Callithrix jacchus: one gene and its partners. The main gene of each other region encodes a partner of the protein of the gene in region 5 in a complex. Links are inferred from orthologs where the notes say so. Each region holds a gene or a part of one and is shown on either strand. Other genes may lie near its edges. The genes, in order: MIOS, WDR59, NUP43, NUP37 and SEH1L.

Region 1 (6,843 bases), on a different chromosome or scaffold from region 5:
GAGCTTGAGTATGATCTTTAAAGGCATTGCTTAGCTAACTTAGAGAATAATAAGCACTATTTACAATAGCAAAGACATAGAGTCAACTATAATACCCATCAGTGGTAGACTGGATAAAGGAAATGTAGTACATATACACCGTGGAATACTATGCAGCCATGTCCCTTGCAGCAGCATAGATAGAGCTAGAGACCTTATCCTAATCAACTAACACAGGAACAGAAAACTAAATACCACATTTTATCACTTTGTAAGGAGGAGATAAAGATTTAGTGCATATGGTCATAAAGAAGGAACAACAGACACCAGGGCTTACCGGAGGGTGGAGGGTTGGAGGAGGATTGAAATTAAAAAAACTACCTATCAGGTACTGTGTTTATTACCTGGATGACAGTTCGTACACCAAAACCCCCATGATACGCAGTTTACCTGTATAACAAACCTGCACATGTACCCCTGAAACTAAAGTAAAAGTTAAGGAAGCATATATATATATATATGGTTTGTTTGTTTGGTTTTTTTTAATATGTGAAATCAAACGAGTCCTAGTTCCAAAATAAAAGTATCTAATAGAAATCAAGTGCTGGCTAATGGCTTGAGTATCTAAACCTCCCTGGTGCTTTGCCTGCAGTCAGAGATTACATCCATCCATTATGCTTTGTGATTCAAATAGCTGGAATTTCTGTAAGTTTATTTAACTGAGGCTTGATATTTTTATACTCAATTGTGCTTTGAAGATTAGAACTCAAAACAGTTCTAACATCATTATAAACATTATAAATATTATTTATTAAAAAATTTTATTTGGTACCTAGTGTTCCAAGTGCTAGAAATGTTACAGTAAACAAAACAAAAATCCCTGCCCTTACAGAACTTAATTTTTGGACAATGACACATTTTTTAAAAGTTAGATTATATACTGGTTTCCTTCATTTTCTTCTCAGATTATGAGTTAATACACAAGTGAAACTAGTTTCCCCTAAAGTGTTCTGTGGTACTTGTCTTCATAATTCACTATGGATCTTTTAAAATTTAAAGTCATTTGACCTTAAAAAAGCCTTTATACTTGGCAGTGAGGTAGATCTTAATACTTCCAGCTTTATCAGAAAAATATAAGGATACACTTGTTTGGATTCAGTCTGTTTTCTGTTTATGTTAGAAGTTACAAAAACAAAATGACAAGCGCTAACAAGAGCTTTACACAAAGGTATCAAGTAGTGTCCATATCAGATCTGTATTTTATTTTTCTCTTCCCCCTTTCCATTTTGCCCTCTCATTATTAACCTTTGGTGACCCTTTCAGGAATAAATTTAGTGTATTTACATCTTAAATCATTGAACTACTTATACATCCTTTCACCCCATATTATTAGCAAAAACAGATATTTTTTAAAACTATTCCTGACTGTAGGATTATCCTTTTGATCCCGAAAGTGTGACCTGCAATGATCCAAGCAAAATTTTGAACATAGTCATCTATGCATAATGCCTTAATAGATGGCAATTAAGTAAAAATATTAAGTCTAATTAAGCAATTGCTTAAGTTACTCAAGTCTCATGAAGTGCATTGGGAAACTTTTCCTCTTTTTTCCTTCTTTGAAAGGGCTTGTACAGATGAGAATTACCTGCCCCTTGATTGTCTTTCTTCTTTTTTTGAGACAGTCTTGCTCTGTCACCCAACCTGGAGTGCAGCAGCACTCTCTCGGCTCACTGCAGCCTCCAACTCCTAGGTTTAGGCAATTTTTGTGCCTCAGCCTCCCAAGAAACTGGGACTACAGGCATGTGTCACCACCCCTGGCTAATTTTTGTATTTTTAGCAGAGATGGGGTTTTGCCATATTGGCCAGGCTGGTCTCCAACTCCTAGCCTCAAGTAGTCTGCCCACCTTAGCCTCCCAAAGTGCTGGGATTACAGGCATGAGCTACCATGCCCAGTTTTACCTGTGCCTTGAATGTTAGGTAAAATTCACTTGTAAACTGGGCCTAGTATTTTCCTGTGGAAAGATTTTAACTACTGATTTGGTCTCCCCCAAAGTGTTAAATTTATATTGTTTCTCAGTGGGTTTCAATAATTTAAATTTTTCCATTTTTGTATTGGCTATTAAAAATGTAGGGAAGCTCCTGTCATTCAGTTTCACTCCATCTAAACTAGAACCTAGCATCAAAATTGTTATTTCAATATGATGTGTGATTCATATTTTGAACATAGTTTTAGAAATGCCTTTTGAAAGTAACTTTAAATAAAATATCGTGATGCAGTTAATGAAGATAATTTTCTTGTCTCATAGGAGGAACCAAATCAGATGAAAAAGTGGACTTAAGTAAGGACAAAAAACTAGCCCAGTTTAACAACTGGTTTACATGGTGTCACAATTGCAGGCATGGTGGGCATGCTGGACATATGCTTAGTTGGTTCAGGTAATCAGCACATTTCTTCTTTGATAGGCTTGGATTTACAAGAGATAACACAGATTGCTTCTAAATAGTTTGGGTTTATCTGTTAACATTTAGCCAAAGTATGAATTTTGTTTTTACAGTCACTTGCATTAACAAAGGTGGTATGAACATTTATTTCATTGTTAGATATCCTATGTAACCTTAAACTATAAAGGTAATACTTATATAAGAACTAGTTCAAATATTTTGCATGAGTTAAATGTTTGAATAACATTATTTCACTTTATTCGGGGAGAGGATGTGTTTAAAGTTTTTTACAACTGAATATGTTGTAATTTATCATGTGATTGAATTAATAATGAAATTATAAAAGTGCATATCATATTGCTGCCTCAGTTCTCTTCTCAGTAAGCTTTTTATGTAGTCATGCAATTGAAACTCTCAAGACCATAATTGAATTTTATTTTGAATGGTGCCAGTGGCCCTGTGCTCCTCATTGATATAGCATTTATACCCAGTTTGTCTCACTAGCTAATTTAAACTCTGAGCACATCCCTGTCACCTTCACAACTGTAAATGAAATATCTTGCCATATATGTAGAAAATAAAAGGTATGTATTTTTTTTTAACTTCTCCCTAAAGTTCAGCTTGGCAGTCATTTATAATTTGATGCTTTTTTCCTCTGGGTTTTAGTTTCTATATTTTTACAAATGCCATTTTGAAAAGTTGCATTATAGATAGATCTAAGTAAACAGGTGGGAACAGTGTACACCCCTATAGTCACAGCTAATCAGTAGGTTGAGGCAGGAGCATTGCTTGAGCCCAGGAGTGTGAGTCCAGCTGTGTGAGTCCAGCCTGGGCAATATAGCAAGATGCTGTCTCTTTAAAAAAAAATTTTTTTAGATAAATAAATGTGTATATGTTTAATTTGGATTTTTAACTGTTATTTGATGTATTTTTTTAGGGACCACACAGAGTGCCCTGTGTCTGCATGCACGTGTAAATGTATGCAGTTGGATACAACAGGGAATCTGGTACCTGCAGAGACTATCCAGCCATAAAATGTTATCACCTTAAGAGAAACCTTCAAGTGTGGAGCTTTGTAATAGGTGTCCTTCATAGCTCAGAAACATACCTCAGAACAAGTCATTCATGACTTCCCTGTAATGGGAAAATAAATCATTCTCTCAGATCAGCAATTTGATGTGTGAGTGATTTTGATGTGCTTCACAGAGACAAATGCTGCTGAAATAAACTTCAGAGTATAGACGTGAATTCTGTTCAGTAGCTTGAAAAGTCTACTTTAGAAAAACTTTGTAAGTTTTTGTTGAAATTATGAACATTCTACAAGAATTTCTGGAATAGCCAAGAACAAACCTTGAGCCTGATCTTCAAAGCTGAAGTTGGATATCTTTCAATAAAATCCGTGCACTTTTAAAATAAAATGACTAATTCAGTGATTCAGACAATAATCTTAAGTTAAGCTGTGCTTAGATTTCTTTCAGATAAATTTAAAATTATAGATTTTTACTTTTAGAATTAGAGAGTCCCTATCCCATACTGGAGAATACTTTTTATTAATATATGTTATATATATATGTATGCATGTGTGTGTGTATGTGTAAATATATATATTTTTTCAAAGGAGACTTTTCTTTCATATGTTTTTATTTTAAGATAAGCAATCTTTTGGCATACACATTGTCTTCCTAGAAAAGCCAAGATGAAGAATCTATCTTACAACTTTTTCTCTTCAGAAGAGAAAAACATGTACCATTTCAGGTGAACATATAAAATTTTCACTTTCTACCTTTTGCTTTCCAGTGTCTTAATTTGTCTTCAAAGGTTTTTCTCCATATTAATTTGTCATCTTACCCTCATCATCTGAGAATATTTTACTGAATACAAAGTCTATGCAAGATTATATGTAACTAACCATTTAGCATAATCTATGTCAGTGTTTCTGTACTGTCAGATTTCCTCCTGACTAGGAATAACATTCTTTGTTCTTTCCAAGGTAGACTAGGAGATGTTGGGGAAATACAGTCACTTCAGAGTCCACGTTAGATGTAAGTTTTTAAATGTACATGTTACTGGAGGGACTTTATTTAAAATTTACTTTTTCCGATTTCATAGCTATAGAAAGTTGTAAGAGAAATACCAAGGGTTTACAGGATGCTTCTCTGTCATCTGCCATATGCAGAGGGACTGAACTAGGAAGCTTGTAGTTGAAGCTCTGTTCATAAAGAGTAAATCTAATTTTATTTTTTAGATTTTGGAGAAATAAACTGAAGAATTTTAAGAGCTTTCATATTAGCAGTTTTGCCTTATAAAAACTAAGATCTATCAGATTAGTTTGAGGTATAACCTAAATATTAAAAGTAGATTAAATTTTTTACCTTGAGTATCTGATACATAAAACCCTTTTCTAGGAAAACATTGGAAGTAATGTATATCTACTCTAAATGTCTCATCTACATGACAGTCTTTTCAAATGAAAGAAATGGGAAATGCAAATTTTTTTAAAGATGGCTATTAAGGGTACTTTTTCCAGGCTTTCAGTAAATTTTAATTGATTTCATTTTATTAACACATATCCTCTACCTTTAATATTTCCTTTGAAGTGTTCCTTTCAAATTTATTGTGTCCTAAATATGAAAGTCAGCTTTAAGTAATGTCGAACTCTTACATAGTAAATTTTATTTCTCATTAGCTAAAGTTAAATATAAAATTATTGAATTTAGCTGAAATAGTTACAAGTTTTGGAAATACAGTATAAAACATGAATGTAAAGTCTATTATGTAATATGCTTATTTGTAATCCTGATATATAAGGGTGACATTTTTAAGATTGTGTGTGTCAACCTCGTATTGTTTTCTGTGAAGCCCAAACATGCAGTTTATGTCTCTGGTGTGCATTTTGCATTTCAGTGTGTGTGGACAATGAAGGTAGATTCAAATTATTTTCTCATTTTTGTCGCAAAGTCACTGGTATTTGGGTTTATAAACTCAACAAGGTATTTTACCTAAACATGATCAATAGAAGTGTTTAATAAAAGTATTTTTATTATTTTGAAAAGATTCAATAAATCTGGGTTGAAATCATTGTATCTAATAAAGAAATTATGATTCCTTTACAAATAATCCACATGAAGTTATATTATATTGGTACTTATTTGGATGACAGACTTTATACTTAAAGTAACATTCCTTTTAGGCTCTGTTTTTCAGTTTAACCCACTTTCCAGAATGGTTATCATCCTTTACAAAGGTATATTTTAAAAATAGCTTCCCATTATCAGTGCTTCACACAGTATTTAAAAGAATGTAGTTCTGCATTTAATTGGATGACTGAATTTCAGTCATTCATTTGACTGCGAATAGTAAAGGAATGGTCTTTGAAACTCATAATCCTAGCCTCAGGATCTTTGGTAAGTGACTTGACCTTTTTGAGCTTCAGTTTCTTTATATGTTAAAAGAAAGATGCAGAAATACCTACCTTATAAAGTGTGGGGACATTAGGTGATGCAATAAACATGACTTACCATATCCTTGTCACACAGTGCTCTATAAATGGCAGTGATTAGCAGTCATTGCTACCTTAATTTTCATAGGTTACTCCTGTAGCAGTACTTTTTCAGTGAATACAGTATACTTTTAACAAAGAACCTACATTTGTCTCAAAAATGAAAATTTCCCGTAATAGTAATGCTGCAAATATAGGGTAAACAAAAGTAGCTAAATCCTATCTCAAAAGAAAAATGCCATTATTTGGATAAATTTGGAGTATTACTATTTTGCTGTATGCAAAAATACTCCAAATGACCTCTTAGGAGTTAAATGTGGTATAAAAATGAACCGAGAAGAAAAAGTTATGGCAAATTTAACAATTGATTATTGAAAACTTGGAGTTTTTATATCTGTTCTCAACTCTAAACTAGGTTTAAATTTAACTCCCTAATCTGGATACTTGGAGACAGTATCCAGGATTATTCCGTGTACTTCTTCCTTTTCTGGCATTCTGTTAGACTTGCTGTTCATTTCAGTTAAAATGGTGGGGTGGTAGTGATAATCAAAAGTATACTGTGAGACTTGCTCTCCCAGAATGGCCATAATTAAAGCTAGTGGGCACACATTTCTAACATCTGCTTAAATAGGCATCAGAGAGATAGGAGAGGCATATCTGGTGTTAGGTCAGCATCTTGTATCAAGTCTAGTGACCCACATCACAATGACAGAAACAGCTTACTAGATAGCACCTCCCTTATCCTCTACTCACTCCCATCCTTTTCCAGTTTTCTCTCCTACCTGAAAATGTTGTAGGTTACTTTGCTGATTATAACAAGCAGCACTTTACAAATATACTAATTTTTATAAAATACTACTTTTCCCAGAGTACTGAAGGAAAGCTTCCCAACATTTTTAAAAGCTAACAACCCAGATATCAAC
Region 2 (6,164 bases), on a different chromosome or scaffold from region 5:
CTTTTGATTTGTGTTGCCATCTAAAGACAGCAGCTGGAGTAAAGTGAAAAGAACCACACACGTGGGAAACCTGGAGACTTGGATGCACACTTTATTTCTTCCACCAAATAGCTGCTGACCTCAGACAAGTCATTTCTTCTCTTGATGTCTCAGTTTTCTCAGCTGTAAAGTGAGGCTAAAAGCACTCACAGCAGACTTGTTTTAAAGGCCCCATGAGATAGTTATGTAACAGCACATACCCCTTCCTGCTATTCACTATATTTGGGTGAAGGAAAAACTAATCAAGCTTTAAAACTCCTTCCTGGAGAGATATTCAATTTTCTGAAGCAAAGAGTTTCGGTACTTGCCCCAAAGGAAGAGTAAATGTTCCACAGGCTAAGTGTATAAAGAGGTTTTGGTTGCCTTCTTACTATGAATCTAAATCCCACAGCCTGTGAGGGAACACGGCACGGCACGGCACAGCACAGCACCCTGGAGGGGCTGGAGGGCTGGCTGCCCAAGTCAACTCTGCCCATAACCTCAGCAGCAACTCCTGCCAAAACACTAAGCCTCCCAGGTTTTAGTGTCTTCCTTTATAGTAAAATGCGATGTTGAAGCATCTAAGGAGGAGCTAAGACACATGAGCACCAGGTTCTCCTTTGGCTGATCTTAGGAGAAAAGAAAAGGATTAAGAAGAAAGTCTGCATTCCTTTTTCTTTTCTTTTTTTTTTTTTGAGACAGAGTCTTGCTGTCACCTAAGCTAGAGGGCAGTGGTGTGATCTTGGCTCAGTGCAACCTCTGCTTCTCAGGTTCAAGTGATTCCTGTGCCTCAGCCTCCTGAGCAATTGGAACCACACCCACCACCACACCTGGCTAATTCTGTGTGTGTGTGTGTGTGTGTGTGTTTTTAGCAGAGATGGGGGTTTCACCATGTTGGCCAGGGTGGTCTCGAACTCCTGGCTTCCTGGCTTCAAGTGATCCACCCACCTGGACCTCCCAAAGTGCTGGGATTTCAGGTGTGAGCCATCACACCTGGCCAGAAAACTCAGGAAATAAAAAAGCAAGCAGAGAGAGTTCTGTTAAAGCTGCAAAGCTGTTTGCTAACTGAAATCGTTGCTGAAATGGTTCCCTCCCCAAACCGCCATCTGCAAACATGAGACACTGTTGATTAAACTAAGTACCTCCACATTGACATTCCGGATTTGCACATTGATCAGGGAGAATTCCTGCTGCAAGGTCTGAGGCAGTCCCAATTGATCTGATTTCCTCTCTTCCAGGAGATTGCTAGGGGGATCTTCCTTTAGGGCTAGCAGGAGAGAGAAGTTCAATGTTGGAAAGCATTTTTGAAAATGAATCAGGGAACAGGTCTGGGGTATCTGCCACATCTCTGCAATGCATAACGTGGCACCTCACCTGAGAAGCCAGTTTCACAAATTACCTTCTTCCTCCCCGTGGCTTGCATTGTGCTGGTGATCTATATCTTCAGCGTGCAGGGTCTTCTCGGGTTCCGGCAGAAGAGAAATGCTCTCAATGAACTCATCGACACCATCTAATATGTCATTTGCACAAAGCTGCAACAAAGTGGGGAAGATGTATTTCTAGAGAAGTCAGTGGAAAAGATCATCATGTCTGATTAAAGAGTTAAAAATGGGAATGACAAAGGATGGAGATGTGTCAGCCAAGAGCTGACATAATCAAAATAGATTTTACCCATCACCAGCTCTCCCTGCTTAAACACCCAGGATAATAGACCCTATTATTCAGCCCTGGAAATTTTTCATCATGTTCAGAGTTTATGCAAGCCTCAGGAAAAAAAAAAAAAAAATTACTTTTAACTCCAAGCCTTGATGGAGTTATTCAGCTAATCCAGGAGCAAAAATATCATAACCGGCCGGGCATGGTGGCTCATGCCTATAATCCAGGCACTTTGGGAGGCTGAGGAGTGCAGATCACCTTAGGTCAGGAGTTTGAGACCAGCCTGACCAACATGGTGAAACCCTATCTCTACTAAAAATACACAAATTAGCCAGGCATGGTGGCAGACGCCTGTAATCCCACCTACTCAGGAGGCTGTGGCAGGAGAATCACTTGAAGCCAGGAGGCAGAGGTTGCAGTAAGCCAAGATCATGTGGCTGCACTCCAGCCTGGGCAACAGAGAAAGAGTCCATCTCAAAAAAAAAAAGAAAATCATAATCTCAAGGCATTTGGTGCAAATTGTACCTTTCAGAGAAAACAGATTGAAAATGCAATAAGGTAATGAGATTTGACCAAAATACTCAAGAGTGACTTCACACTAAGCAGTGTTGGCATTTTTATCCAGTATTTTCTATTCATTCTGTGCAACGCAGTGTCCCAAGTGCTGTGGGAGCTGCAATACAAGTGAGATACCTTCCCACTGTCAAGAAATGTAGCCATCAGATGGGGAGCAGACAGAGCCCTGTGATAAGGCAGAGCAGAGCAAGGGTCATAAAAGCAGCTCAGATCAGGCAGGCCCTACTGTGGTTCATGTAAGAAACAGATATCATTTATTGGGAAAAAATTATAAACAGCTTCATAGAAGTGGTGCTGTTGACGGATGTAGAGGCCTCTAAGCATTTGCAGAGTGCAAGGGTAGGCTTTTTTTTTTTTCTTTTTTGAGATGGAGTCTCACTCTGTCACCCAGGCTAGAGTGCAATGGCGAGATCTCAGCTCACTGCAACCTCTGCTTCCTGGCTTCAAGTGATTCTCCTGCCTCAGCCTCCTGAGTAGCTGGGATTACAGGGGTATGCCACCATGCCCAACTAATTTTTTTTTATTTTTAGTAGAGACAGGGTTTCACCATGTTGGTCAGGCTGGTCTTCAACTCCTGACCTTGTGATCCGACCACCTCGGCCTCTGGGATTAAAGGCGTGAGCCACTACAACCGGCAAGGGTAGATTTCTTAGCACATTTAGAAAAGAAAGAAATGAACCCCACAAGCCACAGGCTCAGGAAGCTACTCATACTATTTTGTATTAGAATAAGGGGGAAAAAGACATTTAGACCCTGCCTTAAAGAGCTGAATACTAAGGTTGGTTCTTAAAGACCTCAAAGCCTTGGTGTGGCACACACCAGCCACTCAGCCAACCAGTAAGTATGTATTAAATGTCTATCTTGCCAGGCACAGTGGCTCACATCAGTGATATCAGCACTTTAGGAGGCCAAGGCAGGCGGATCACTGGAGATCAGGAGTTCGAGACTGGCCTGGCCAACATGATGAAACCCTGTTTCTACTAGAAATACAAAAATTAGCCAAGTATGGTGGTGGGCAGGCCTGTAATCCCAGCTTCTTGGGAGGCTGAGGCACAAGAATCGCTTGAATCTAGGAGGTGGAGGTTGCAGTGAGCCGAGATCTCACCACTGCACTCCAGCCTGGGAGATTGAGTGAAACTCAGCCTCAAAAAAAAAAAAAGTTTATCCTGTAATCTCTAATTTCCACAAATCCTGAATCTTACACTTCTTGGTGGATCCAGGTACATTTCTCCACAATAGCACTGAATACATACCCTCTGCATCTGGGAATCCACCCGCCACATTCTCAAGGTCTGATCCCGGGACCACGTCACCAGTTGATAGTCCTTGGACCCTAGAAATCACCAAATAAGAATCCTGGAAATTCTTCTGGATTCAATATCCACTTTGCTATAGGTTGAAATGGAGTGAGATTCATCCATCCATTCAACAACATCTCTGATATGCCAGGCACTATTCTAGGTACCAGGACTACAGCATGGATAAATTAGTGTCTATCTTTACAGATCTTGCGTTCCAATGGTAAAAACAGACAAACAAATATAAAACATCTGGTAAGGATAACTGATATAAAAATAACACAAGATAAGAGGACAGAGACTGACAGTGGAACTATTTTTAGCTAGAACTCCCCAAGGAAGTCACATTTGAGCAGAAACTTAAATTAAGTGAAATAATAACTGGCAAATTAGCAGGTAAAGAGCAATGCTGGGATTTAATGTCACACTAAACTTTCACCTCTGCAAATGTTCTTCCTTTTACATGCTCTTGAGGAGCTGAAGATGAACACATTTTTGCAAAATGGATTGTTTCAAATGCATCATAGCATCTTACCATTCCAAAGAATTTTTTGGTAAAGTGATGCATCTCTTTGTAAAATAAATCATCAATCCTTAATATTCTTAATTGACTGAATCACATTTTCATTTTAATTCTGGCCAAAGGGAAATTATCCTGAGAAGGTTCAGGGTGCTTTATGAAATAACTTCATGAAAGTCAGAACATTTGGGGGCAATTATGTAGTATCTAGAATCTCCTTCATGGCCACCTTCAGAAAGCGAAGAATTCAGAAATAATTTCATCCAACTTCTTAATTTTATGGATGGGGAAACCGAGGCAAGATAATATGATCTGTCCAAGGTCACAGAGTGAGAGGGCAAAAAATGAGGGCCAGTTCTCTTCCTTATCGGTTATATCTCTGCATCACCAACTCCAACCAAAAATTCACTCCTCAATACTTCATATATCACTAGGTACAGCTAGCCAGAGAGCAACTATCCTAAACCATAGCTTGTCACATGTGGCACCATCATGCCCCACGTTCACATCAACAATCTTCTGACCCTACATCTGGCCTCTTTTCATGCCCCTGACTTTAAGAAAAAGGTATGCCTAATTCCTTTCTAAATATTATAAATTAACTCAACCCCTCAACCTGTGCCTCCCCTGCTGGTCCCAAGGGGCCCTTTGCTTCCCCAACTCCCAGTGTCTTCTCCCTGCCTTCCAACAGAGAGGGCAGCAGCCTCTGCCAACTGGCTAATTCTGTGTCTTGACTTTGAGGGTAACTTAATTCACTAAACTGGTTCCTGCTGCCCCTGTTTATGCCACCTAATGACCTGGCTTCTCTCCTCAACTCACTTTTCGAACTCCTTTTTTTAAATTCTGAGACAGGGTCTTTGTCACCCAGGCTGGAGTGGAGTGCAGTGACAGGGTCTCAGCTCACTGCAACAAGCTCCACCTCCTGGTTCGGGCAATAATCCTGCCTCAGCCTCCTGAGTGGCTGACATTACAGGCACGCACCACCACACCCGGCTAATTTTACGTGTGTGTGTGTGTGTGTGTGTGTGTGTGTGTAGAGATGGAGTTTCACCATGTTGGCCAGGCTGGTCTCAAACTCCTGCCTCACATAATCAACCTGCCTCGGCCTCCCACAGTGCTGGGATTACAGCCATGAGCCACCACACCAGGCCTGAAACTCCTTTCTTAATGATCATATGGCTTCCTATTTGGTCAGTTAAATGCATTTCTCTTAATCTATATTTTCATCTGTCAGCAACACCTGAGAAAAAGGATTACCGCCCGCCCCCAGGAGGCATCCTTTTCCCCTGGCCGCAACATCCTAAGTCTCTTCCTAACTCTTTAAGAAATCCTTCCCCACAGTGAAAATCAAATCATGAAGTGGTCCAATAAAAACAGATGACTACCAGCCTGGGCAACATGGCAAAACCCATCTCTACAAAAAAGTACAAAAAATCAGCCCAGCATGGTGGCACACTCGGGTAGTCCCAGCGACTCAGGGGGCTGAGGTGGAAGCGCTACTTGAGCCCAGGAAGTCGAGGCTGCAGTGAGCCATATTCATGCCACTGCACTCTAGCCTGAGTGATAAAGCGAGACCACGTCTCAAAAAAAAAACATGATGGCGAAGACATGGCAGTGAAAGTAAACTGGAGCAATGTTCTGCTGAGCAGGGAGTAAGATGAAGATGGTTCCCAACTTACAATGGTTCAGCTCATAATTGTTTGACTTTATGATGGTGCGAAACTGTCACAATTTTAACATAATATGTAGTATTCGATAAATTATATGAGATATTCAACACTTGTTTATAAAATAAGCTTTTTATCAGAGGATTTGGCCCAAATGGAGGCCAATGTAAGTGTTCTGAGCATGTTTCAGGTAGGCTACTTAGCTATGATGTTCAGTGAGCTAAGTGGGTAAAATACATTTTCTTTTTTTTTTTTCGAGACAGAGTCTCGATCTGTTTCCCAGGCTGAAGTGCAATGGCATAACCTCAGCTCACTGAAATCTCCACCTCCTGAGTTCAAAAGATTCTCCTGCCTCAGCCTCCCGAGTAGCTGGGACTACAGGCACGTACCACCAAACCCAGCTAATTTTTGTATTTTTAGTAGAGATGG
Region 3 (5,279 bases), on a different chromosome or scaffold from region 5:
AGACATAGGGACTTTGCACAGAGCCTGACACATAGTAGGTACTCAGTCATTTGCTGAGTGAATTAAATTTGTACTTATTTGGTATGACAGCAAGTTGAAAGGAAAGTTATAAGTAATGCCTAAAATGGAAGTATACTGCTTCTGCCTGCGTCACTTTTACTCTTTATTAAGTGCAATGCTGTGTTAGAGATAAAAGCTTATAATCTAGTAGTGTTACTCACTTTTAAGAACATTTATCTAAAAAGCATAAAAAAAGATCCGAGGTAAGGCAATTATATTTTTAGAAACGTAGTAACAAATATATATTTAGAAATATATATTTTTTTTTTTTTGAGATGGGGTTTCTCCATGTTGGCCAGGCTGGTCTCGAACTCCTGACCTCAGGCAATCCACTCGCCTTGGCCTCCCAAAGTGCTGGGATTACAGGTGTGAGCCACCATGCCTGGCCTAGAAATATAAATCTAGAAATATTCAACTAGAAATGTGTCTAGAAATTCTTTCTCATGATCATTTATTACCCAAGAGTTTATATTTCCGTATATTACCTACATTTTTGGTTTCTTTTTTTTTTTCTTTCTTTATTCAACTTGTCTGCTGGCCATTTTGCTACCTTTCTGAGACTTTCCAATAAAAGATTAACAGAAAGACAGAGTCAGTTGAAATTATCTGCTTTGCCTGAAGACTTCATGTTTGGTATCCATATTATCTCATGGAAATTTGAATATTTAATATCACTGAATAAGCCTTTGGTCAAAAATGGTTTTGTATAATAATGGAATTATTAACCTGTTATTCTGAGAATTAAACATATTGAGATTATCACCTGTCTAAATTCAGTAGAAGTTTGCATGTTTACTAATATAAAAACCACCTTAAATTTTTTTTCTTTTCTTGTTTTCTTTCAGGAGGAAGAACCAGTACATTTTTGTCTCATAGCATTAGTAACCAAGCTAATGTTCACCAATCTGTCATTAGTTCCTGGCTCAGCACGGATCCTGCAAAAGACCGAATTGAAATCACAAGCTTACTTCCCAGTAGGACTCTGTCTGTGAACAGTTTGGATGTTTTAGGTCCTTGTCTTGTTTGTGGAACCGATGCAGAAGCAATTTATGTTACTAGACATCTTTTTTCGTAGAAGTACTGTAATTTTAAGATTTCAGGTAGAACACACAATTAGCCTTTTGAAATCCAACATCTGTGCAAACTTTTATTATCAGAAAATATGAGATTTGCAGGGGAAACATCAATAAACTGCCATTAATGTCAATGCCCAGTTTTGGCTTTTGTTAGCCTGACACTCCCACAACAGTTGTAGAATCCGTTGGATGACAGAGGGCAAAAGATTGTGAACATGTGCAAGAAAATCAGTGGGATCCTGGTGCTGATGAATAGGTTGCCTTCAGAGTATTATTGACAGCTCATGGGACTAGTTCTTTGTTTTAGATGTGGCAATTAACACAACATCAGTGGTGGTTATGGGAACCACCAATGGGTTCCTACAATGTTTATCAGTAGTATGTGGAGTATACGCCTCCTAGTGGCAATTGTCAATGTTAACAATTATTCTTTTTATTGCAAGTATTTCCTATGATCCTTCCACACTTTATTTCCTTAATAATTATAGTAAATGTTTTCAGAAAGAATTGAGTAGAGCAAAAATAACAAAGATGTATAGCCATGTTCGAATTTTTTTTTGAGACAGATTTTTTTTTGAGACAGTCTTACTCTGTTGCCAGGCTGGAATGCAGTGGTGCGATCTTGGCTCACTGCAGCCTCCACCTCCCGGGTTCAAGCAATTCTCCTGCCTCAGCCTGCTGAGTAGCTGGAACTACAGGGGTGCGCCACCACACCTAGCTAATTTTTGTGTTTTTTAGTAGACATGGGGTTTCACCATGTCAGCCAGGATGGTCTCCATGTCTCGACCTCATGATCTGCTTGCCTCAACCTCCCAAAGTGCTGGGATTACAGGTGTGAGCCACTGTACCTATCCTGAAATTTTTTAAAGATGAAAATGTTTTGACAAGTTCCTTTTTCAGAATAGGTTTTTGAGCAGAAGTCTTTCAACTCCTTAGACCCAACTTTATTTCTGTTGAAAAGGGAACAAACACAACATTTTTCCTAAGGAATTTAGCTTTTGTTTAGCTTCACGGCATAGTTGAAAATTGCCAAACTGGACATCGTGTGATAAAGTAGAATTTCATATTGATAAGCAAATTGACTTCCAAACTAAAATTCAATGCTTAACAAGTGTGATTAATCAAATGATAATATAATCAGAGTGAAGAATTGTGCCATTTTTTTCTTTTTTTTTTTAACCTTTGTCCCCACCCCCCACCCCCCACCAGAATTTTGCCATTTTAATCCTTTTGTTTTAGCCACCTATAGTCTTATCAGCCATCTTTATTCTTGTCTGCAGAGATAATAATGACCTAATGTAGTGTTTTAAGATACTTTAATGATACTATCTTTCCAAAATTTGTTAGATATTAAATGTGTTATTGACCTGAGACCTTAATGATAAATCAGTACTATTAGACAATTGAAGTGTTTATTTACTTTATAATTCCAATAATCATAATTATGGAATTATGATAAGGTTTTGCTTTTCTGTCCTAATAAATATTTTCTTTTTCTTTTTTTGAGACAGAGTTTCGCTCTTATTGCTGGAGTGATGATCTCAGCTCACTGCGACCTCTGTCTCCCAGGTTCAAACAATTCTCCTGCCTCAGCCTCTCCAGTAGCTGGGATTACAGGTGTGCGCCACCAGACCTGGCTAATTTTTAATTAGTAGTAGAGAAGGGGTTTCACCATGTTGGCCAGGGCTGGTCTGGAACTCCTGACCATAGGTTATCAGCCCACCTCAGCCTCCGAAAGTGCTGGGATTATAGGTGTGAGCCACCACACCCTGCCTATTTTCAATTTTTTTAATGCCACTTTATCTCAGGGGGTTTTGGGTTTCTGATCTGTCTATAGTATTATTGCTGGGACTAATTTTTTAAAGACTTTTTGTTACTAAATAACTTACAGAAAAGAAAGTTTTAAGTACTTAGAATTTCAAACAGACAATACTCTTCATATCCGTTTCTATCCATCAATGTATATAATTTCTTAATAAAATGAAATATACATATATATATTATCTTTGTGGATGCATGTTCCCTAGCAGTAAACACATTTTTTCTATTATCATTTTGAACTGCTAGTTAATATTCTAAGCTGTAGGAGTGTGTACCATAATTTATTTCAATTGGTTGCCTATTATTGATTATTTCATGTTTCCAGCCTTTCACCGTTATGATTCCCACTATAATACCGGTTTGGTTTAATTTGCATTTCTTTTAAAACTTGCTTTTATTCTTAGCTTATATCCTCTTCATTTTTTGAGGTAGTTTGGCATTTTCTTATTTGTAACATCTTTTTATATGTGGTTTTTTTTTGTTTGTTTTTTTGCCTTTGGTTGTATGATACAGGTATTTTTTTAATTTAGTTTTTAGCTTTACTTATGGGGCTTTTTTTTAATCTTTATTCTGTTAATTTTTTTTTTTTTTTTTCCTTGAGATAGAGTCTCACTCCCATCGCCCAGGCTGGAGTGCAGTGGCATGATCATGGTTCGCTGCAGCCTGACCTTCTGGGCTCAGATGATCCTCCCATCTTAACATCCTGAATAGCTGGGACTAGAGGTGTGTACCACCATGCCTAATTTCTGTACTTTTAGTAGAGATGGGGTTTCATAATTGCCCAGGCTACTTAGGGTGCTTTTCATAGAATTTGCATTTCGTGTGTGGTCAAATCAGTTGGTTTCTTAGTTTTTTATTTTTGTTTTTTGAGACAGAGTTTTGCCCTGTCACCCAGGCTGACGTGCAATGGCATGATCTTAGCTCACTGCAACTTCCACCTCCCTGGTTCAAGCAATTCTCCTGCCTCGGCCTCCCAAGTAGCCGGGATTACAGGCATGTGCCACCGTGCTCAACTAATTATATATATATATATATATATATATATATATTTTTTTTTTTTTTTTGAGACGGAGTTTCGCTCTTGTTACCCAGGCTGGAGTGTAATGGCATGATCTCGGCTCACCGCAACCTCTGCCTCCTGGGTTCAAGCAATTCTCCTGCCTCAGCTTCCCGAGTAGCTGGGACTACAGGTACGCACCACCATGCCCTGCTAATTTTTTTGTATTTTTAGTAGAGACAGGGTTTCACCATGTTGACCAGTATGGTCTCGATCTCTTGACCTTGTGATCCACCCGCCTTGGCCTCCCAAAATGCTGGGATTATAGGCGTGAGCCACCGCGCCTGGCCCAATTTTTTATATTTTTAGTATAGATGGGGTTTCACTGTGTTGGCTAGCCTGGTCTCAAACTCCTGACCTTAGGTGATCCACCCACCTTGGCCTCCCAAAATGCTAGGATTCCAGAGGTGAGCCACCACACCTGGCCAAATCATTTGATTTCTTTCTTAATACTTTTTGTCCCCTGGCATCATGTTATCCTGTCCTAGAGTTATGTAAATGTTAATCTGTAATTCATTTTATTTTGTGGTTTTTATATTTTGCATGTAATGATTGCATTTGGAATTTAATGATTTAATGCATCTGAAGTTTTCTTCTTTTCACACAAGTAGATATTATGTGCTTCCTGATGTCATACAAAAGGAGTAAATAACACCACATAGGAAATTTCCTGCCCAAAAGGAACTACTTGTTTTTCATTTTGTAGCATTCCAGGAGTAAGTAAAAACATACACTTGTTCAGCTCAGGGTAGGTTTTTTCCTAGCACTGAAAAGTAGACCAGGCCGGGCTCGGTGGCTCACGCCTGTAATCACAGCACTTTGGGAGGCTGAGGCAGGCAGATTACGAGGTCGAGATCGAGACCATCCTGGCCAACATGGTGAAACCCCGTCTCTACTAAAAATACAAAAATTAGCTGGGCGTGGTGGTGCATGCCTGTAGTCCCAGCTACTCAGAAGGCTGAGGCAGGAGAATTGCTTGAACCCAGGAGTCAGAGATTGCAGTGAGCCAAGATTGTGCCACTGTACTCCAGCCTGGCGCCTGGCAACGGAGCAAGACTCTGTCTCAAAAAAAAAGAAAAGTAGACCAGATAATTCAGATAATTGCCATTACCCTAAATATCAGTTCAAGGACTTATCAGCCTAACTGTACTTCCCCAGTTCCTAGCAACAAAACTGAACCTGATTTACCTGTCTGCCAGTTTACAGACACTACAGGAAACAAAAGAACATGTTAAATGACAACATGGGATGCAACTGTTGAGAAA
Region 4 (6,164 bases), on a different chromosome or scaffold from region 5:
GATATAACCCAAACTATGAAGTCAGCTATGATTAGGCTCCTAAACTTATTTTGGAGCTGTATAACACACAAATTACGAATTATAAAAGTTGACAGTGTTTTTCTTTCCTTGATAAGTGTATTTCTATTATTTCATTTATAGAAAACCTTTTCATGTTAACTCTAACTTCACCTGAAATTTAAAGTTATTTTCAAAGGGTATTTGAATTATGTAGAGAAAGATGAGTAATATATTTGTAAAATGACTTTACTAGGATCCCAAAGGCTATCCTAGAAAAATCAGCATATCCACTTGGATTTCATTCGAGTATACATTATAAAACTTTGCATTTAGATTCTGGGTGAATGGAATTCTTAGATCAGGCCTTCAAGTAATTCCTATCAATATAGACATACGTATTTCATTAAATACCAAGTTTCACCTGCTGTATTTTTTTTCCTGATATTTTAAATCTTGTACACTTTATAAAAAAAGAAAAACCTGTGGTTAATACACAAGATTCCTTGGACAAATTTGTCATGAAAATTTTGCTTTAGTCTCTAGACCCAGTTCAGATATTGATTTAAATAACAATGATGATTTACTTATTTTTAAAATTACAAAAATTTTTATGATTTTTTTTTCTTTTTTACCTTTCCTATTGTGCTGGGCAGTATTTTAATGCATAGAAAATATACATTATTCATAAAGGCATAAAGAATAATAAGATGGTTCCCTATATAACTGCTACCTAGTTTAAGAAATGGAACATTAGCAATTCTTTTGAGGCCCCCTCAGTATCCTTCCCTTACTCATGGTAGGTATTTTGCATGGCAGGGTTTTCTGTTTGTCTTTTTTTTTCCCTGCTTCCCCCTTAAGGGCCCTGGATCTATACTGAGATCTGTCATCTGGCATCCTTCCTTGTGCAGGCACTAGGATTTGTCTCCTCTCTCTTGCAAACTGAAACTTTAAATCATTGCATGTGGGCAGATGCCCTTATAACAGCTGCATTCCTTGGTACTCATTTGCTTGTTTGTATTTGGATTTTTGCAATGTTGTAATGGAAGAGCTTTTCATGTTTTTGTCCCCATTTACAGCGCTAGATGCCTTGACTTTTAAAGTTGATTTTTTTTTTACCTTCCCGTGAGAATAAACTGAAATCATTTTTGTAGAGCTGAACTAGATAAATAAGCCAAGTTTATTAAGCATTTATTCCCAGAATAAAATATCTAAAACTAAATTAACCAGATTATTTCTTACATATTCACTATTCATAGACTATAATAGTCCAGATGAATTATTTGTAGCATCTTACACACGTATAATGCCAGAAGTAATACTACATGGAAATCATTGACACTGATTATAAAGACTTAGAGGCATCATAAGGTCCCAAAGTATTTTCCATTTAATCAGAATGTTCAGTATATATTTTTAATATTGTCAGTAGATAATCCAGTTCTGGTAATTTATTTACTAGAATATTTTGATTCTTTAGAGCATTCCATTTTCTTTGTTTTCTTTTTTTATAATGTAGAGACATGGTCTCACTATGTTGCCCAGGCTGGTCTCAAGCTCCTGAGCTTAAGCAGTCCTTCCACCTCAGTCCCCCAAAATATTGAGATTATAGATGTGAGTCACCACACCCCAACAAGCAATCCATTTTCATTGAATTTATTATGAAATGCCTCATAAGATAAAGTAGGACATGTTTATCATTTATTTCTAATTGCCTTAGAGAGTTATTTTGTGAGGCTAAGGTAAGTTTGGATTTTTTTAATTCAGTGAACTAATTCTCAAAATTTTTCAAAAGCATACACATAGCCTCCTGATAAATTCATTTTAATGAAATAATACTGTTTGTTTTCATAACTTACTAAAATCTTTACTGTGCTTAGGAAGAAGAAGCAGACGTTCAAGGCATTCAGTATAAAACACTTCGAACATTTCACCATGGAGTCAGGGTTGACGGTATAGCTTGGAGCCCAGAGACTAGACTTGATTCATTGCCTCCAATAATCAAGTAAGTTTAACAGCACCAAATGCATTCTTTACTAATGTATTTTGATTGTGTTACATGATCTGAAGTCTGATTATAGATACTTTTTTCTCCATTTCCATTTTCCACAACCCAAGATACTAGGTATTTTTATATTTGCTATTACTTAATAATTTAGGCTTATCATCTGAATTTGTGATTTAAATATACAGCCATGACTATGATAACTTGACCATGTGTTTGAGCCAAACTACACAGCTTTTTACATGGGCTTCATCTGAATCAAGGTTTTTACAGAGTCTTCACTAATTCACAACTTTATTGAAACTACAACTCTTTTAATAAAAGACATTAATGAGCAGTTGAGACATTAATGAGCCTTCCTTACCCCACATAGACTAAGATCACATTTTCATGTCTCACAATATGTAAATCTGTAATTCTGGGCTTTGGACTTCAGTTTTTGTGAAAGTGTTTAAAAAGAATGATGGTTTTCCGAGAAAAAAGTCCTGGCAATGCCTGCTGAAGTCTTCTTTACAGGGGCAAGAATATGTTACATTATTTAAGATTTGTTACAAAACACTAGCCTTGTCTCCACAAATGTCAAATCTAAAAGATGTGTCTTCTTTTAGTAAGAGATACTTAGCAACTAAAAGTTATCAACTATTATGCTGATAGTTGATCCTTTAATTTTTTTAATTAAAGAATAATTTAGATACTCTGAAATTCTCAGTATTAACGGTACAATTTGATCAGTATTGACAAATGCATACGTTTGTATAACCCACACTCTATTCATGCACAGTGTTTTTGTCCCCCAAGAAAGTTACTTCATATTCCCTTCCAGTTAATCACTGTACCCCATTCCCTACAGAAGCAACTGTTGATCTGGATTCTATTACCAGAAATCAGTTTTGCCTATTCTAGAACTTCATATGAGTGGAATCATACAGAATTTTTTTTGTGTCTGGCTCAGTGTTTTTGAATTTTTTCCACATTGTTATGTATACCAGTGCATTTTAAGTAGTACTCCATTGCAGTGTATCAATAGATGATAGTCTGTTTATTCATTCTTCTATCAATGGGTACCAATACGGTTTCCAGTGTTTAGTTATTATTTTTTGCTGAATACTGCTTTTAGTGGTTATATGGTTTAATTTATCTTAGGAGTAGAATTGTTGAGTCACAGGGTAGATGTATGTTTAACATTTTAAGAAAGTCCCAGTTTCTAAAGTGGTTCTGCCATTTCATATGTTCACCAGTCATCTACGGGTGGTCTCCCTACTCTCCAACACTCATTGATTCATTTTGAGACAAGTTCTAGCTCTATCACCCAAGCTACAGTACAGTGACACCATCTCCACTCACTGCAATCTCTACCTCCCAGGCTCAAGCCATCTTCCCACCTCAGCCTCCTGAGTAGCTGGGACTATAGGCATACATCACCATGCCTGGCTAATTTTTGGATTTTTTTGTAGAGACAGGGATTTGCCATGTTGCCCAGGCTGGTCTCAAACTCCTGAGCTCAGGCAATCCATCTCCCTCGGCCTCCCAAAGTTCTGGGATGATAGGCGTGAGCCACCATACCTGGCCTATACCCCAACATTTATTATTGTCTATCTTTTTATTTTCTTTTTCTTTTTCTTTTCTTTTCTTTCTTTTTTTTTTTTTTTTTTTTTTTTCTGATACAGAATCACACTCTATTACTCAGGCTGCCATCCAGACCCATGATTATGACTCACTGCAGCCTCAACCTCCCTTGTCTCAGCCTCAACCCTGCCTCTCACCTCAGCCTCCCAAGTAGCTGGAACTACAGGCATGCGCTGCCACTCCCAGCTAATTTTTGTATTTTTTGCAGTGATGGGGTTTCACTGTGTTACCCAGTCTGGTCTCGAGCACCTGGGCTTGAGCAGTTCACGCATCTTCTTGACCTCCCAAAGTGTTAGGATTACAGGTGTGAGCCACTGTGGTTAGCGTTTCTTTTTAGTTTTAGCCATTCTGGTTGATGCTGCAATGACATTTCCATGATGACTAATGATGTTGATGCTTTTTTGGTGTATTTGTTTCTTCTATTAGAAATCTTTGTGTGATTTTTTTTTTCAGGTTGCATGTTTTTTCCTAAAGCCTTTACCAATATTTAGTTAACTTAATTTTGAATAATCTAACAATAGCTTTTGTCAGCATATGTAATAATATCATTACCAAAGCTGGTGTGCTGTTCATTTCCTTTTATGTTAAAAGAAACTGGTCACAATATCCAGACCCAAATAAGAGCAAAGTCTCTTTGATTCTTTAAATTTTGAAAGCTGTGGAAACAGTCGTCTTCCCTTGGTTTTGAGTTAAGTTTTGTGATACATTCTTTAACCTGGATATTCAACTCTTGTGTTCTGTGCTCTCCTTGTTGCTTAATACTTGTTTATCTATCCTCTTTTTAGTGAATTCGCTGTGTTTGATCATTTCTGGTGGGTGTTTTTGTTTAGTTTGTTTTTCTTAGTTTTCGGTAAACTGTCTCAAGTCCTTTTTGGAATTATACAAATAACAATAACAAATTTAAAAGACATTAGCAAGACATTAATTTTAGACTATTTTTAGAGCAAGCTGACAGCACAATCTTGTTTTCAAATAAATTATTATTATAAAAATGATAAATGCTTAATAGATAAAATTTAGAAAACAGAAAATAAAAAGGATAAGAATGCCATTTATGCTCCCAATACTCTTTCCATTTTTTATACATAGTTGTACATAATTGTGATTATACTTAGTAACTCTCTATACTTTTTTTAACTTTACTTTTTTAGTAATATTCTAAAATAGTAGTCCATCACCATGACTAAGGTATAACTCAGCATCTCTCTTACCATCGTTAGTTTTTATCTTACATTTAGAAACCCTTCATGATGGCTTATGATTAGCATGTAGTTGCCTTAAATTCTCTTTCTCTCTGCCTTTCTGCTCTTTCTGTCCTTACTTGCTTTTCTTGCACAGTGGCTAGAGGATTCATTATTTATCTTATTTCAGCTCTCTGAGGTTTTCTGGTTCAATTAAAGGACCTAAATATCCCTACAACAGCAAGGATTCAAAGAAAAGTGGGGCAACACAAGGCTGGCTATAAAGTTTTGTGGGTTGGTTTGTTTGGTTTTATTTAAATCCTATTAAGAGTATTAATTATCCAAAAGAGAGCCCGCATAGCCAAGTCAATTCTAAGCAAAAAGAACACAGCAGGGGGCATCACACTACCGGATTTCAAACTATACTACAAGGCTACAGTAATCAAAACAGCATGGTACTGGTACCAAAACAGAGATATAGACCAATGGAACAAAACAGAGGCACCAGAGGCAACACAACATATCTACAACTATACAATCTTTGATAAACCTGACAAAAACAAGCAATGGGGAAAGGATTCCCTGTTTAACAAATGGTGTTGGGAAAACTGGCTAGCCATGTGCAGAAAGCAGAAACTGGACCCCTTCCTGACACCTTACACTAAAATTAACTCCAGATGGATTAAAGACTTAAACATAACACCTGGCATGATAAAAACCCTAGAAGGAAATCTAGGCAAAACTACCAGGACGTAGGAGTAGGCAAGGACTTCATGAACAAAACACCAAAAGCATTGGCAACAAAAGCCAAAATAGACAAATGGGACCTAATGAAACTCTACAGCTTCTGCACGACAAAAGAAACAGTCACTAGAGTGAATCGGCAACCAACAGAATGGGAAAAAATTTTTGCAGTCTACCCATCTGACAAAGGGCTGATATCCAGAATTTACAAAGAACGCAAATAGATTTACAGGAAAAAAACAAGCCCATTCAAAAGTGGGCAAAGGATATGAACAGATACTTTACGAAAGAAGACATATATGAGGCCAACAATCATATGAAAAAATGCTCATCGTCACTGGTCATCAGAGAGATGCAAATCAAAACCACATTGAGATACCATCTCACGCTAGTCAGAATGGCGATCATTAAAAAATCTGGAGACAACAGATGCTGGAGAGGATGTGGAGGAAAAGGAACACTTTTACGCTGTTGGTGGGAGTGTAAATTAGTTCAACCATTGTGGAAGACAGTGTGGCGATTCCACAAGGCCTTAGAAATAGAAATTGCATTTGACCCAGCAATCCCATTACTGGGTATATATCCAAAGGACTATAAATCATTCTACTATA
Region 5 (6,279 bases):
CTTATTTTATCAAATAAATTGCTTTAGACAATCAGTTCTGAATAGGAGAAAATCCAGTATCTTCCCTGCTTCATCTCTCCAGCTCCCAAAAGTTAAGAGCCACGGGCTCCTGATTGTAAGTTTCTTACAAGTGCCAGGCTGAGAGAGAAGGTCTGGTCAATTGACACTGACTGTGGTCTCTGTAGCTTGGTTCTGCACTTCTCCTTGGATGGTTATCCGTTGGGCAGAGATGGCTGTGATTTGTGTACCACCATTATGAGTGGTATCTCATACTTAGCATTCAAATTTATAGCTGTCTTAGTTTATTTACCCTCTAGCAGGTATTGTTTCCCAGAGTGCAGTCTGGCTAAGTTTTGGGCTTTGGTAGAACCAGCCAGACGTTCCTTTCTTCACTGTAGTTTGATTTCAAGGGCATTGCTGTCATTTTCTGCCTCTAGGCTTTAGTCAGGACCACCTTGCCATACTCCTTGGCAGGCTGCCTAACTTGATTTTCTTTGGTTCATTGTCTTCAGGGACCAATTTTGCATTCAAACTAATAAGGCCATTTTGGATAAGCCACTCAAGTTCCAAAAGTTTTGTTACATCCATTTCAGAAGACATTAGGTACCCATATACCTGCATAATTAAGAAGACAACTTAATTATCTTACATATATATATATGTGAAATTCATTATAATGAAGACTTTAATATTATAATGAAGGTTTTAATATGAACTTCATAATGTGATAATGTAGTACTTCAGAGAATTGTCTCTGCTAATATCTATAAGATGGCTGGTGAAAGCTTTATATTTTTAAAATTGGTGATACTTTGAAAACTTCTAAAAAATTGTTAAAACGGAGATAATATGTCTTTCATTTAAAAAGTGTCTTTAATGTTAATCCTGAAAGAAATGCCATAGCCCATAGCTTCTCTCGTTTCTGTAATTATAGTTTAAGGACATAGGTACAGATTTGTGCCCTTAGGCATTGGTATTAATCACATTAATGTATTTGATTATTTTCTTTTCAGCTAATTATATGGACAATTGGAAGTGTACTGGTATTTTGAAAGGTAATGGGAGCCCAGTCAATGGGAGTTCTCAGCAGGGAAACTCAAATCCTTCCCTAGGTTCAAATATTCCAAGTCTTCAGAATTCATTAAATGGATCTTCTGCTGGCAGGTAGGCTGTTTAATGGGAAAACTGGAAATTATCTTTGTTTTAAATCATTCTGGTAGCCATACTTAAGGAGGATTATTTTATGGATTATAAGATGGAGTGTAAATGTTCACATGTAAACTATATTAGCATTTAAGAATTCATTTTGTATTTGGCTTACTTGGTCAGAATATTTGCTGGTAGGTTATGAGGCTATTACATTATATTCTGAAGCTTTAGTGATGTATTGGTAGAAATGTTTATAGGTTTAAGATTCAACGCTGCTTCTGCAGCAGTGAGAGGAAGAGGTTATCTGGTTTAATAGTGAGGGTTTTAGTCCAAATGAACGTTAGTGTTTTTTAGTGCTTGTAGTGTGGTCTTTGTATCAGGTCAAACTGAAATTTTAAATAAATACATTAATTAAGGCTTTTTAGAAGAGAGTACATTAAATTATTTGGTTTTTGTGTTTAAAACTTATTGGAAATAAGAGGAAATAATAAAATCTGAGATTGATTTTTAAAATGTTAGCATATGTTAGATTCTTGTGTATCGTAATAAGGAATATCTGATGTCATCTAAAGAGTCATCCTTTTATTTTCATGTTCAAATTTTAAATATGTGAATTTGTAAGATAAAACTATTTTAATAGGCCTTTGTGAATAAATTTGGAATAGAAATCAGGAAGCTTCAAAACACAGCCTAATGGATATCCTAAATAAAAGAAGAAAATTGTATTTAAAATTTCAACTATTTTTATATTGTTATATTTTTATAAAGAATTCCTGCTTTTGATTTTTGAGGTTGTAAATATGAGCATCAAAATAATTTCAGGTTACTGTGGAAGATACCAGATTATAAAGATTATTTCATGAAACAAGTAATATTAGAGTTGATTTTTAAAGTCTGGTTTTTGGTCACTGCTTGTACTATGTATTTTCTTTTGTAAATAGCTTCGACGTTTTGATCTGTATTCTTAATTGTGCCAATAACCATCTGTGTTAGATCTGTGATGCATTTTCCCTTTCCATTTGTATTATGTCCTTTAACAGAAAGCACAGCTGAGTACAAGCTAACTGGAGTAACTTTGCTGTTTTGCTGCTTGTTGCATGCACACAGGAATGGAAAGCGAGCTCCTTTTCCCCTTCCCCAGCGCCATTTTGACCTCTCCCAAGATACACCAGCAGCCTGCTTACTACTAAACGCAACCCAAAAGGCCTTTAAAAATACGGTGTATATTTTTTTGTACTAGTCAGTTTGTTGACACTATTTGAAACTTTTGAAATATAAATGGAGAGGCTTTCTGTTGAGACATTGTCACCAAAACAATTTTTTGAAATGTTCCTCAAACTAACTTGGGTTTAAAGATTAAAAGGGTTGTTAACCTTCTTATGTAACTAGTTGAGAAGAGGGGAAATATCACTTTAATTTTTTGGGAAAATACAGACATATTTCTTTTGCTTTCTTAAAACAGCTTAAAATGAACTCTTCTAATTTTAATTTGAAGATTGAATAAATATTTTTCATAAAGATTGTTTTGAGTGCTGATTTGTTTACTTTTTGTAGAATTGCTTTATACATGATATTCAGTACAACTCTGTCATTTCTTTGTAATATTTAAAAAATATTAGTAAAGGAGTGAATTAGTAAAGTAGTAATAGTAAAAAGAAAGTAACTTAACTGTACAGTTTGTAGCCAGGTTAAGCATTTGGTGGTGTTTCATTTATAATTTGGTAGTAAGATGGAAACACCTTTTTGTTAAGTTTTTAATTGATATTCACTAAAGAGATAAATGTTGCTAATATACATTTATATGTTCTTATGGTGTTATTTATTTCATGGCTTAGTTTCCTTCACATCAAAATTTGGACACGTACTATAAGAGAAGCCATTAAAATTTTACTAAAATTGTGCATGTAAATGAATGTCAGCATTCCATGTCTCAAGATTTTCTTAATTTAGTTGGCTGTTTAAATTAGTTCATATCCTGTAAAGCTGTGACCTTGATAACAAAGCTATAAATATTTAAGTTTGCTAAAATGCATAAGTATTACTGGTAAGTTACAAGATGGAACAAGATTAACAATAGGGAACAGTCATTCTGTGAATCCTTTTACTTGTCAAAATTCGGTAGCTATTCTAAGGGTTTTGCAGAAAAATAAGTATGTTCAATATAATTCTTCAAAAGCATGTTGCAGTAGACAGCCATACTCTTTGTATTCCCAGTATCATGTATGCACTAAAAAAAGAGTGTGCTTGCTGCTGCTGTGAGTGAACCATTGCTTAAAATAAAAAGCTTATTAGATTTGTAAATGAACAGAATAGCATCAGATGTTTCTGAGAGATTAGAAAATGTTTTGAATTTATAAAATTAATGTTTTTCTTTGTAACGTTTATATTGATTTTTTTTGACATTTTAAGTTTAACAGATTGTATTTCTTTCAAGTTTTTATACTTGCTTAAGCAATCTTGGTTTGAGTAAGGGTCTTGATTTGTGCTTTTTTTTTTTTCCTAGCATGTTTTCTCCTCTTTGGTTCTCTTTGTATTTACTACTTTTCTCTTTTTCTTGTTTTTTTTTTTTTTTTTCCTGTTGTTTTTGTTTTGTTTGGTGTTTGTTCCTGTCTTAATTGTTTCAGGTATTTCTTTCCCCCTCTGGATTCCCCACGGGCTGGATCGAGATGGTCCAGTTCTATCCAGCTCCTTCCTCCTCCTCCTCTTCCTCCTCTGGTAGAGCACTCTTGCGATGCTGACACTGCCAACCTCCAGTATCCTCACCCTCGCAGACGATATCTCTCTCGGCCTCTTAATCCCTTACCTGAGAATGAAGGGGTTTAAAACACTGACTTAACATTGAAAGGCCTTATTCAAGTGCTTGTAAATGCTTTCATTTCTGGCTGCTATTTTTCTTCATTTTCTTTCAGAAGATTTTTCTAACTTAGGGTCTGTCTTGCATGTATTACTACCAGAATACAGTGTTCAGAACCTAAATCTGTTTGTGCGTCTGCAGCAACGGAACATTTGCTTCTCTGGGTGATAACCTTTGATGAAATGAGGTATGTCCAAATAATGTTATCTGTGAAATTATACACAGAAGCAGACTTCAAAGTGCCTGTTCTGTAATTTTATTTTGAACTGTTACCATAGTCTTAAGTTGCTTATGCTTTATCAGACTGGCTAATGTGAAAGCATATTATTGTGAAGTTTATTCTGCCTTTGAGACCTTAAGAAATGGATTTAATTTTATAGGCTAATGTTGCAACTGACGAGTATGTAAAATAAAATAAAGCATTCCTGTGTATAAAGCTGCAAAACCTAATGTGGACTTTTTGGTCTTTTTTTTTTTTTTTTTTAAAGGAAATTGCCTTTCACTGCTTAGAATTACTGTTTAAAGCTTTTGTAATTATCCGGGTAGGTTATATAATAAAATATATTTTTAAATACATGAATCTCTTGCCTTATAAAAATAGGATATATTTTATTTAAGATAGTTGCTAAGGCTTACTCTTCTTTCATAATCTCACAAAAAACCCAAACAAATAAAAATTAGGAGATGTGAGCAAATATTACATTTATTTAAAAGGTAGAAAGTAGGTAGACTAACATATAGAATGGACAGATGTTGACTTTCAATCTAGTCAACGTTAGAAAAGATTTTTTTCTAAAATATTTTAAAATTAGAATATACTTGACAGTAATTGGGGCAAAATGGTTAAAACTAGTAATAGGCATTTTGGTTCAGTTTTCTGAGGAATTATCAAGGGTTTAACCTATCAGGGCTAGAGAGAGACAGGTGTTTTGAACAGTATTTCATGTGTCTTATCAGGTAATCACAAAGGTAACACAATTGTTGTATGTATTCTAATTTTCTTTTTCTTTGAGATGGAGTTTCGCTCTTGTTACCCAGGCTGGAGTGCAATGGCGCAATCTTGGCTCACCGCAACATCCGCCTCCTGGGTTCAGGCAATTCTCCTGCCTCAGCCTCCTGAGTAGCTGGGATTATAGGCACGCGCCACCATGCCCAGCTAATTTTTTGTATCTTTAGTAGAGATGGGGTTTCACCATTTTGACCAGGATGGTCTCGATCTCTGGACCTCGTGATCCACCCGCCTCGGCCTCCCAAAGTGCTGGGATTACAGGCTTGAGCCACTGCGCCTGGCCAAGTATTCTAATTTTCAAAGACGCCTTTCCTTGAATAGTGTCATATCCCTAGAACTTCTTAATATGCAAAGGATTAAGAGATGATAGAAATATTCTATTCATTTTATAAGACAGGGTCTCACTCTGTAGCTGAGGTTGGAGTGTAGTGGCATGATCATGACTCACTGCAGCCTTGAACTCCCAGGCTCAAGTGCTCCTTTCACCTCAGTCTCCTGAGTAGCTGGGACTACAGGTGCACACCACCATGCCCTGACTAATATTTTTATTTTTTGTAGCAAGGGGTCTCACTTTTTCCCCAGGCTAGTCTCAAACTCTAGGCTTACTCCATCATCCCCCTTCTCCGCCTCCCAAAGTGCTGGGATTACAGGCGTGAGCCACCTCACCTAGCCTACTCATTTTAGTTTAAGGAACATTTGAGTTTTATTGTCTAGTCATCAAAATGTTTTGTCTCTAAGGTTAGCATTTCAATGTGAATGACTTTTTAAAATAATTCTCAAAGGTCTTTCTTTTCTTAAACAAGGCAAGGATCAAACAAGGTCTTAATTAAGAAGCCGTGTCTTTGAGCTTTCAATCATAGAGGTATCTGGGGTTAGAATGGAATAATGAAATTTAGACCATTCTCCAATTTAGTGAATCTTGAGCATCTAGGATGTGCAAGATACTGTGCTAAACACTTGGGTATGTTAAAAAAAAAAAAAAAAGATAGTCTGCACACAGACTTGCACTTGTTGGAGAAGGCATTTCTAGAATTTACAAAAGGTAATGGGTTCAGCTTTGTAATAATGGTAGAAACTGTATAGTAGGCATAAAAGAGACAAGTTATTTAAGCTGGCAGAATTTGGAAGGGGTGCCTGATTTCAATAGGTTACAAAAAAGGCCAGGTGTGTTTAGGGAACAGAATATAAGTAACAGTCTGATGAAAGAGTAGGTTACATTTAGGGAGCTAGTGGGACATTAATCTGAAATCATACCTTGTGGTTACAT

The links.
Region 1: the proteins of SEH1L (region 5) and MIOS are in contact, whole or in part, in a cryo-EM structure (PDB 7UHY), measured with the Homo sapiens proteins. The link is inferred for Callithrix jacchus from reciprocal best matches to the Homo sapiens genes SEH1L and MIOS. Residues at the interface, in NP_112493.2 of Homo sapiens: Met1, Phe2, Val3, Ala4, Arg5, Ser6, Ile7, Ala9, His11, Lys12, Asp13, Leu14, Ile15, His16, Asp17, Val18, Phe20, Phe22, His23, Gly24, Arg25, Met27, Trp47, Ser173, Ser174, Ser175, Asn230, Leu231, Gly232, Arg233; in NP_001357005.1 of Homo sapiens: Arg279, Arg316, Ser317, Phe353, Glu354, Arg355, Ile356, Ser357, Leu358, Ala359, Trp360, Pro362, Leu366, Met367, Trp368, Ala369, Cys370, Gly371, Arg372, Leu374, Tyr375, Glu376, Cys377, Thr378, Glu379, Glu380, Glu387, Asp389, Ile390, Ala391.
Region 2: the proteins of SEH1L (region 5) and WDR59 are in contact, whole or in part, in a cryo-EM structure (PDB 7UHY), measured with the Homo sapiens proteins. The link is inferred for Callithrix jacchus from reciprocal best matches to the Homo sapiens genes SEH1L and WDR59. Residues at the interface, in NP_112493.2 of Homo sapiens: Asn308, Tyr309, Met310, Asn312, Lys314; in NP_085058.3 of Homo sapiens: Pro713, Asp714, Glu716, Thr717, Pro718, Arg721, Arg837, Glu840, Gln843, His844, Asn847.
Region 3: SEH1L (region 5) and NUP43 share a complex: the UniProt entries of both Homo sapiens proteins name them as parts of the nup107-160 subcomplex of the nuclear pore complex. The link is inferred for Callithrix jacchus from reciprocal best matches to the Homo sapiens genes SEH1L and NUP43.
Region 4: SEH1L (region 5) and NUP37 share a complex: the UniProt entries of both Homo sapiens proteins name them as parts of the nup107-160 subcomplex of the nuclear pore complex. The link is inferred for Callithrix jacchus from reciprocal best matches to the Homo sapiens genes SEH1L and NUP37.

The regions. Positions count from the first base shown.
Region 1 is NC_133512.1:51,175,242-51,182,084, reverse strand, and holds the end of MIOS (GATOR2 complex protein MIOS), read left to right. Parts: intron 1-2,285; coding exon 2,286-2,415; intron 2,416-3,358; coding exon 3,359-3,455; 3' UTR 3,456-5,535; downstream 5,536-6,843. UniProt on the Homo sapiens protein: As a component of the GATOR2 complex, functions as an activator of the amino acid-sensing branch of the mTORC1 signaling pathway. The GATOR2 complex indirectly activates mTORC1 through the inhibition of the GATOR1 subcomplex.
Region 2 is NC_133521.1:32,274,370-32,280,533, forward strand, and holds part of WDR59 (GATOR2 complex protein WDR59), read right to left. Parts: intron 3,584-6,164; coding exon 3,504-3,583; intron 1,551-3,503; coding exon 1,418-1,550; intron 1,286-1,417; coding exon 1,161-1,285; intron 1-1,160. UniProt on the Homo sapiens protein: As a component of the GATOR2 complex, functions as an activator of the amino acid-sensing branch of the mTORC1 signaling pathway. The GATOR2 complex indirectly activates mTORC1 through the inhibition of the GATOR1 subcomplex.
Region 3 is NC_133505.1:156,503,360-156,508,638, reverse strand, and holds the end of NUP43 (nucleoporin Nup43), read left to right. Parts: intron 1-905; coding exon 906-1,135; 3' UTR 1,136-3,134; downstream 3,135-5,279. UniProt on the Homo sapiens protein: Component of the Nup107-160 subcomplex of the nuclear pore complex (NPC). The Nup107-160 subcomplex is required for the assembly of a functional NPC.
Region 4 is NC_133510.1:105,154,403-105,160,566, reverse strand, and holds part of NUP37 (nucleoporin Nup37), read left to right. Parts: intron 1-1,877; coding exon 1,878-2,002; intron 2,003-6,164. UniProt on the Homo sapiens protein: Component of the Nup107-160 subcomplex of the nuclear pore complex (NPC). The Nup107-160 subcomplex is required for the assembly of a functional NPC.
Region 5 is NC_133514.1:49,488,891-49,495,169, reverse strand, and holds the end of SEH1L (nucleoporin SEH1), read left to right. Parts: intron 1-1,013; coding exon 1,014-1,164; intron 1,165-2,189; coding exon of another isoform or gene 2,190-2,202; exon of another isoform or gene 2,203-3,773; coding exon 3,774-3,972; 3' UTR 3,973-4,448; downstream 4,449-6,279. UniProt on the Homo sapiens protein: Component of the Nup107-160 subcomplex of the nuclear pore complex (NPC). The Nup107-160 subcomplex is required for the assembly of a functional NPC.